Bombyx mori: one gene and its partner. The protein of the gene in region 2 purifies or fractionates together with the protein of the main gene of each other region. This does not show direct contact. Links are inferred from orthologs where the notes say so. Each region holds a gene or a part of one and is shown on either strand. Other genes may lie near its edges. The genes, in order: DNA repair protein XRCC1 and probable tyrosyl-DNA phosphodiesterase.

Region 1 (4,603 bases), on a different chromosome or scaffold from region 2:
CCACTGCTGGACATAGGCCTCCCCCAAAACTCGCCACTGAACCCGATATTCGGTTCTACGCATCCAGTTACTGCCAGCTGCCTTGCGCAGGTCGTCACTTTATCTAGCAGGAGGACGTCCTACCCTACGTTATTTTAATGATGTTTAAAAAATTTAATTATGTTTTACTATTAGCGATCCTCATGACCGCGGGTTTTAGTAGTGTTTAATACTTATTATATATTACTTATAAAATATTAGTTAGATAGATAGTTATTAGGGCAACCGGGGCGCATGGTACCTGGCAGTGCCTGTTGTAGGGCTGCGCGCACACGACCCGCAGGCGGTCCCAGCGGCGCCCCCGGGCCGCGGCCGCCAGCTGGTCGCCGCGCCACGCCCGCACGCGCTGCACGCCCTCGGCGCGCCGGGACTCGCTGGGCGACAACATCACGCTGCTGGGGACCAGTACCTGAGCATGTCTCTCCGGTCACTCCACTGTCAATATCTATGTTTGAAAGCGACGGGCAGCAGAAGCAGCCGGGTGCCGGGATATGCCCTACATGATCCCTTGAGTTTTTCAATCCTATTTTTATTCTTATATAAAATTATAGACCCTGTTATTCATGGTGAAGACATTTGTTGACATCTTCAGATATGATGATAACCAGAGTAAAGCTACATTTTTGAATGTAACCTTTTTAGTGATTCCAAAGTACACTATTATTTTAGAAGCCTCCATATTTGAAACTGTTCCCTCCTAAGCATCCTAGATATTCATCAATTACAAGACCCCTAATGCAAAGTTCCCTAACAGTTGAGTAAACATACCTCAAAGGGTTCATCAGGTTTTTCAGATCTTCCAACGAGCACCTCCACAGTAGCAGCATGATGCACACCAAGATAGACTGATGATATCTGATTTTTAAGATGTTATTGGTTTTTTTGCCAGGTTTACTTGAGGAAAGTTGAAGTCATACACTATATAAGAAAACTATCTTGACTATTGTCTATTGATATATCATTATTATATCCACAAAGAAACCCATTTCCGAGTACAAATAATCAAAATATACAAAAACTATAGAAAAGAGTGATTTAGAACAAGGTATAGAACTATAGACCAGATTTACATTTCAGCATGCCCTTTTTGTATCGTAGGTTTGTATATCAAAATTACAAATATGAAAAAATTTAAGATTTTAATAGATCATGTTTGTTAAGAGCTTGCCTGGACTGCCTTGGCCAGCTGAAGTACGACTGAGCAGGAAGACTCTCCCTTGCAGCACAGCCATTTCTTCTTGTTCACTTCCAATGCCAACAGATTGTTAGCTGGGTGATCCTGGTAGAGAAGCAAAGATACTATTATGCTATACATGTTACAAAGAACATTACCCAAACCCTTTTTTTCTCCTGTGTTATGGATGGCAGAACACATTTGAGATGAAAATAAGTATCTCCAGACCCCAAATAAAAGAATTGAATTGTGGTATAGTTGTAAGTAAACACTAAAGCAGCAGGTTACCAGGGGTAAGATGTAGTCTAATAACATTGATATTATGTGGGCTTAGAAAAAAAAAAATTATATGGCTTAGAAATTTTTGAATTTAAATTAATAAAACTGTACTATATTTTTATTAATTAGGGTTCTACTGCATGCTCATTAAGTACAAAATAACTTTCCATTACATTTATGATAACTTTATTTTCAACTCTTGATTCCCATTCATACTTTGCTGTGATCAAATATATGAAATTGACTTTTGTCTATATGACATGGATGCCATTGTGTAGTATTTTTTTGTTACTGTTACTGTGTTAGTTCTTTATTTATTTATAGCTTAGATGGGGGGACGAGCTCACAGCCCACTTGGTTTTAGTGGTTATTGGAACCCATAGACATGTGCAATGTAAATGTCGCTACCTACCTTGAGAGATGAGTTCTAAAGTCTCAGTTTTTATAGTACAACCACTGCCCCACCGTTCAAACTGAAACACATTACTGCTTAACTGCAGAAGTAAGCAGGGTGGTGGTACCTACCAGTAATTACGCAAATTATAATTTTGCTGGTTTGATTTTTACTATACGATTACTCCGGGCAGAAGGTAGATGTATCGAGCAGTTGCGGTTTCTTCTATAAATCGAGTTTAAAAACAGCCACATAACATTAATTTGGATCCAAATGAGTTCATCAACATTCCTCATATAGTTCAATTTAAATGGCTAAAGAGAGAGGCCTGGTTTATAAAGTGAGACTAGTTTGGTGCATTTTGAATACGACAAAGGTATACATTATTTAAAAATATCCGATGACCTGGCTTACTGTCATCATCATATCGTTACAATCCCGTGCTTCGTGGTGGGCGGTGGGTAGGGCTTAGTAATTTATCATCCGGGAACAATCACTTACGATCAGGTAGGCATGTTTCAAGCAAAATTTAAAAATTCAACTACGGTTTCAATATCACTCATTGGTTTTTGTCAATTAATAGGTTAGATTATGATTAATATCAAAACTTACAGGATCCTCGCTGCTGAAGCTAACGACGTAATCAATTTTCACGCGCGGCATAGCGATACACCTTTATTTAGGAACATGTAATAATTTGGCCCTATAGTACTTGATAAAGATAATTGTTTTACCCTTAACGCACATTAACAATAAACGGTCACTTATGATGAGTTATTTAAAAAAAAAAAAAATTTTTAATAATTTATAGTTGGTTCGTTAAATTCGGTCGAAAATCGAAATTAAATTATTAATATTGTTTAGAAAACATTGAATTTTTTTTTCTTCATCCGTCGGACCGGTATCGTGGATTTACCTCATACAGCCAAATCATTTAAACGAAAAGCCCCAAGCCATGTTTGTGACATAAAAAGTGATGATAATGATGTTATTGCTTCGATTGATAGGTTTAATGAGGACAGAAGGTATGCTTTTTACTTTATTGAAAAGATAGATTTAGTTTAAACGCGTTTAAGCGTGGCTGTTCTGTGTTTAAACGTGTAATAATATTAATGAATAGGCTTAATAGTAATTTATTATCTGTGCTTCAATGTATAAATAACGGTATATTAACGAAAGCCAAATGCAATTTATAAAGAAAAAACAAGGAGAAACTTTTGTTTGATAGATACTCGTTTATTATATTATGCGTGTAGTCTATGGTTACTCGTAGGTCGTTACTCGTTAAGTACACAATAAATTTTAATTCGCATCTTATTTTGCATTTCCTTCTTACTTTATTCTTTGATATTTTATTAGAATTTAGGTTTTTGTAATGGGAAACTTACGTTTAAGTCTAATAAAAGCTGTGAAAATTATTAGACTTTGACCTGATGTGGCATGCACGTTGTTATATCTACAGGTTCCCCTAACCACTTAATATCAGGTCTTGTCTATCTAATATAAAAACGAAATAAAATTTAGGCGCGTGAATAAACTAATTTGAATAAATAAATAAAAATATTATTATTAAATTATTGTATATTAAATTATTATTATTATATATTGAATAAATGACTTTTGTCAGAACGACATTAATAATATTGTAAATGATAAAAGTGAACAATATCATTTCAAGCACGCGAGGCGCGGGCTCCCGTCCGTGACTGCGTCGGACTCACGCGACTCCTCTTCACTCTTCCACTTCCGATTGTTTTTAATCGGCATTGGCGATGAAAGTAAAATTTATAACATATTTGCGTTACAGTATGTGGAGTGGAACTTTTTAGTTTTTCTATATCAAGAGGATAATGATATTATTATTCCATTTATTTTATTTCATAAATAGATATTTACGAGCTATGTGCTAAAGTTGTAGACTTAGTAGATTGACATAACAATTGAATAAGCCGAGCATAAGTCGTAACCTAGTTTTTTTTCTGTCTAGGTACGTTACAATCAAAAGTTATAAATTATTTTTTAAAATATGCACACATTTAAAACGCCTTAAACTAGCTAAGGTCAATAAATGTAAATTTATTTACATTGGTATCAGACTGTTACGAAACTAAATAAATCTCATCACTATTTATAAATTAAGTAATTTAAATAATATTAGCTTCTCGTTATCCTGTGTTTGTGCACGCGTATGATGACGGGTGATTCCGTAGGAATTTTTTTCTTTGGCAGTATCTTTCGTTTCTTGGTAGGTTTTTTGTGGTAAGAATATCCTCCGAGCGCTGTAGGCTGAGCGTACAATATCGTCGGAGACGACTCTTGGCTTGAATCATATGAATTGTGATGAGATTTTAGGTACGAGTATGGAACGGATGATGAATATAAACGTCCAAGGTCCGTCTCAGCAGAGAGCGTAGATTCAGCGTAAGTGGGATATTCGTAAGGACGCGGACGTGGATACTCTTTATGAGAGAAAGATGTTTGTGGGTATTCCACGAAAGATGGTCTTGTGTGTGTAGGAAAGTAGAGCTTGGAGAAGTCTGGTGACGTAAGGGAAGAGAAGTCAGACGAAGAGAACGTTTTCCCATAGAAAGAATTTCCCTGAGAAGGTCTGTTGTATTGTGACGAGGAGAACGAAGGTGTACTGTAATGAGTATGGTAGCTCGGCTTGGAGTAAGCCGAATGATGTTTGGACGCGGAGTGATGGAGGTCTCTGTTGG
Region 2 (3,210 bases):
GGCTTCTAATGGAAAAAGAATTTTTCAAATCGGTCCAGTAGCTTCGGAGCCTATTCGAAACAAACAAACAAACAAATCTTTCCTCTTTATAATATTATTAGTATTAGTATAGATTATAGATGTATAAATGATGTATGTATGTATATCAGCATCTAGATCTCCACATGTGATTTTAGTCAGGGACAGTCGACCATACGACTTACTTTTACCATTACTCTCACATAATAGGACTACGTTCATCCACATTGCGTCTCCAGAGACCTTGTTTCCAAGAACCTTCCCGCTCTGGCATGATCCCTCACCACGGTGTTTCCAGAGCACTACCACATGATTAGATGGAAGACCTTACTGAAACCCCACTTAACGAGTGTGTGCGCCGGGCCTCGGTTCGCAAACTGTGGAAAACATCTGTTAAGGCTTTAATGAGCAAGAATTCCACATGACCACGACTGCTCTGCCAAGAGCAACCGATTATGATGATGATGACCACATGACCTTCAGATTTGGCGAGATTCCTCAGACGGGTGCTTGGCATTGTCCTGGCGTCATGAATTAGGGTAACTAACCATCAAACCACCTGCACACTAATGCAATAAATAAAATAGAAATAAATAAACACCAATTATTTTATTGAACAAAAACCAAATCTGTTTCTCGACACTAGTGTACTTTTTTTTTAATTCTGAAATCGATTTCCATTTCCTGTGTTTTAGGATCGAATTGAAATTTGAGAGCGCGCCTCTAGTGTCGAGTCTTCAAGTCAATCATGATGTAATCTTCTTCTACTTCTTCACATGAGGTAATCAGAGACCCAGGGCGACATGCCATCCGTATATTTGACTGGCGGTAAGTCGTATGGCACGATAAGCCGGTTCGGGGCGTTTTGTTCTAGACAGAAGTAATCTTCGTTGGTCTGTGCAAAAAAAGGCATTTCTGGTGTAAATTGGCATAAACAGGCAGAGCAAACAACATATTGAATCTAATACGTAAGTACTAGGATAACATAAAGATAAAGAAGTCTTGCAAAGTTTGATGTGTAAATTTAAGCTAAAAAAGATTTCTTTATTGCCTTTGTTGGAAGACGAGTGAAAGTCCCACCTGACACTGAATGATAACCGTGGCTCATGAAAGTCAGAAATTGTAAGCGCAATATGTCAATGTGTAAATGTCACTTTAATCACATACCATGTCTATACCAAATATTTTATTAAAATTGTAAAAACAAGTGTAAATAAATAATTATTACATTTGTGATAGTCGAAGCAACAAATTGGACCACATTTCGACCTCTTATCTCAAGGATGGAGACAACAATAAATCTATGGACACCGATGACCACTTAACATCAAAATGGGCTTTAATATCCCACCACACAATAAAACATATAACCAGGAGACCATAGCAACGAAGAGGTATACATACATACATACACATACGTATAAAAACGAAACATGTTCAAAGAAATGTACCAGGAAAACATAACGATGAAGAAGTATGCACTTCAACTCCCACAACGAACTTTATAATAAGAACAATACGTCAGCATCGTAGGTCATTGATTGAGACGAAATTCAATCTACGGACTCCGATGACCACTTAACATCAAAATGGACTTTAAAATCCGACTACGAAATAAAACATGCAATCAGGAGAGCACAGCATCGCAGAGGTATGCGTAAAGAAAAGTTAATATTCCAAAAATGTACCAGGAGAACATAACAATGAAGAAGTATGTCTAAACTCACAATGAACTTTGGCAGGAACAGCACGCCGGCTTCGTAACTCATTATCCTGAGCGCTCCGTTTCCTTTGTTCGTCGAGCCCCAGGCCGCCTTGCTGACGTTCCCCGACGTGAGCAGGTAGTACGCTGCCTTCCTGCCGTCCTTCGACACCCGGGTGTAGGACTTTATGTGGGGCATCGCCCGGTTTCGATTCGTGGACGCAGCTCGCCATTGACTGCAAATGGTCCCACACGGTTACCGGTGTCAATATTCACTGTCAACATTTTGTTTGAGTGCATCAACCGGAGAAAAGGCCTGCAATGTGTCTTAATTATACGAGAAAGGCTATAAGAGAAAGAGGGAAAGAAAATGTGTGCTTGCACCCCTCTCTCTCTCTCTTTCTATATTCACTAACTTATATTTCCCTCTCAACTTCCGTTCGCCTCGCCCAATCACACTTTTCGTAACGCTATCGTCACGCATCCACCAGCTTAGTCCCCAAGTCAAGCATACGTAAAGAAGTTTTACTTCAAAATCTATTAAGTTCGTTCCGCGCCAACAAACATGTAGAATTAGGATCGTGACGGGTAAATAAGACTTTGATGCACAGGTTTAGCTTTTCATACAGTTTACTGAATCATCTACGCCATCTTGTTTCCTACTTCCGTCCCTTTCTAACATCTCCTCTCACTCACACCTTAAAACTCCCATTCCACACGTCCTGCCATAAGAGGCATAAGATCCAATCTTACCGATCCTACAATCGCCGCAATAAAGTAACTTAACGTGCCGAGCCAAAATTAAGAAGAAGAAGAAGTAACTTAACGAATAATGACCACTCATCAACAGGTGAGTCGTATGCTCGTTCGTCTCCCTAGAAAAGCAAAACACTAACTCTTTATAATTAAATTAATTAATTAAAAGAAGTTTTATAATTTTATCAAGTTATTTTCGATTAATTATAGATTGTGGTACTAGGGGGGCATGAATTATGAGAAGGTTAATAATGATATGCTCACTATAAAAAGCTATTTAGCCAAGGTTGTTTCGAATGCGCTTCGGCTGCGTAAGGCAAGCAACCGCCTCCTAACAAATCGTCGTGAGATTGTTTGACGTTTTCTGTAAACATAAAACAATATTTAGCATAACAATTACTCGATACATATCCATATCGATTCCTATGAAAACGATTATCTTACCTAAAGATGGATAAATCAGTTTCAAAGTAGGCGGAGACGACAACATCTGCGATTGGTTCTTGATTTTCGTGAAGTTGTGAAGGAAATCTCCGGTCAACCAGAGCTGCAAGCAAAACATTACTTTCTTAGAATTATGAAGCCCTGGTACTTTGATGTTACAAATATATACAAAGCAACAAACACATTATTATTAATTAATTGACATACCTAAATTATCTGGATTACCTTTGCCACAATAGTGGCCAATGACACTCTTAGTGTTACTACTTCGCAAAAATTTCAATGTTTTC

The links.
Region 1: the proteins of probable tyrosyl-DNA phosphodiesterase (region 2) and DNA repair protein XRCC1 purify together in Homo sapiens (affinity purification with mass spectrometry; 4 studies listed by BioGRID and IntAct, with this or other methods). This does not show direct contact. The link is inferred for Bombyx mori from reciprocal best matches to the Homo sapiens genes TDP1 and XRCC1.

Annotation. Positions count from the first base shown.
Region 1 is NC_085124.1:497,699-502,301, forward strand, and holds the start of DNA repair protein XRCC1, read right to left. Parts: upstream 3,003-4,603; 5' UTR 2,550-3,002; coding exon 2,499-2,549; intron 1,319-2,498; coding exon 1,208-1,318; intron 895-1,207; coding exon 808-894; intron 449-807; coding exon 281-448; intron 1-280. Other genes in the region: uncharacterized protein LOC101737274, read right to left, coding at 4,041-4,603. UniProt on the Homo sapiens protein: Scaffold protein involved in DNA single-strand break repair by mediating the assembly of DNA break repair protein complexes. Negatively regulates ADP-ribosyltransferase activity of PARP1 during base-excision repair in order to prevent excessive PARP1 activity.
Region 2 is NC_085130.1:17,794,314-17,797,523, reverse strand, and holds the end of probable tyrosyl-DNA phosphodiesterase, read right to left. Parts: intron 3,024-3,210; coding exon 2,921-3,023; intron 2,841-2,920; coding exon 2,741-2,840; intron 1,957-2,740; coding exon 1,746-1,956; intron 914-1,745; coding exon 791-913; 3' UTR 613-790; downstream 1-612. UniProt on the Homo sapiens protein: DNA repair enzyme that can remove a variety of covalent adducts from DNA through hydrolysis of a 3'-phosphodiester bond, giving rise to DNA with a free 3' phosphate.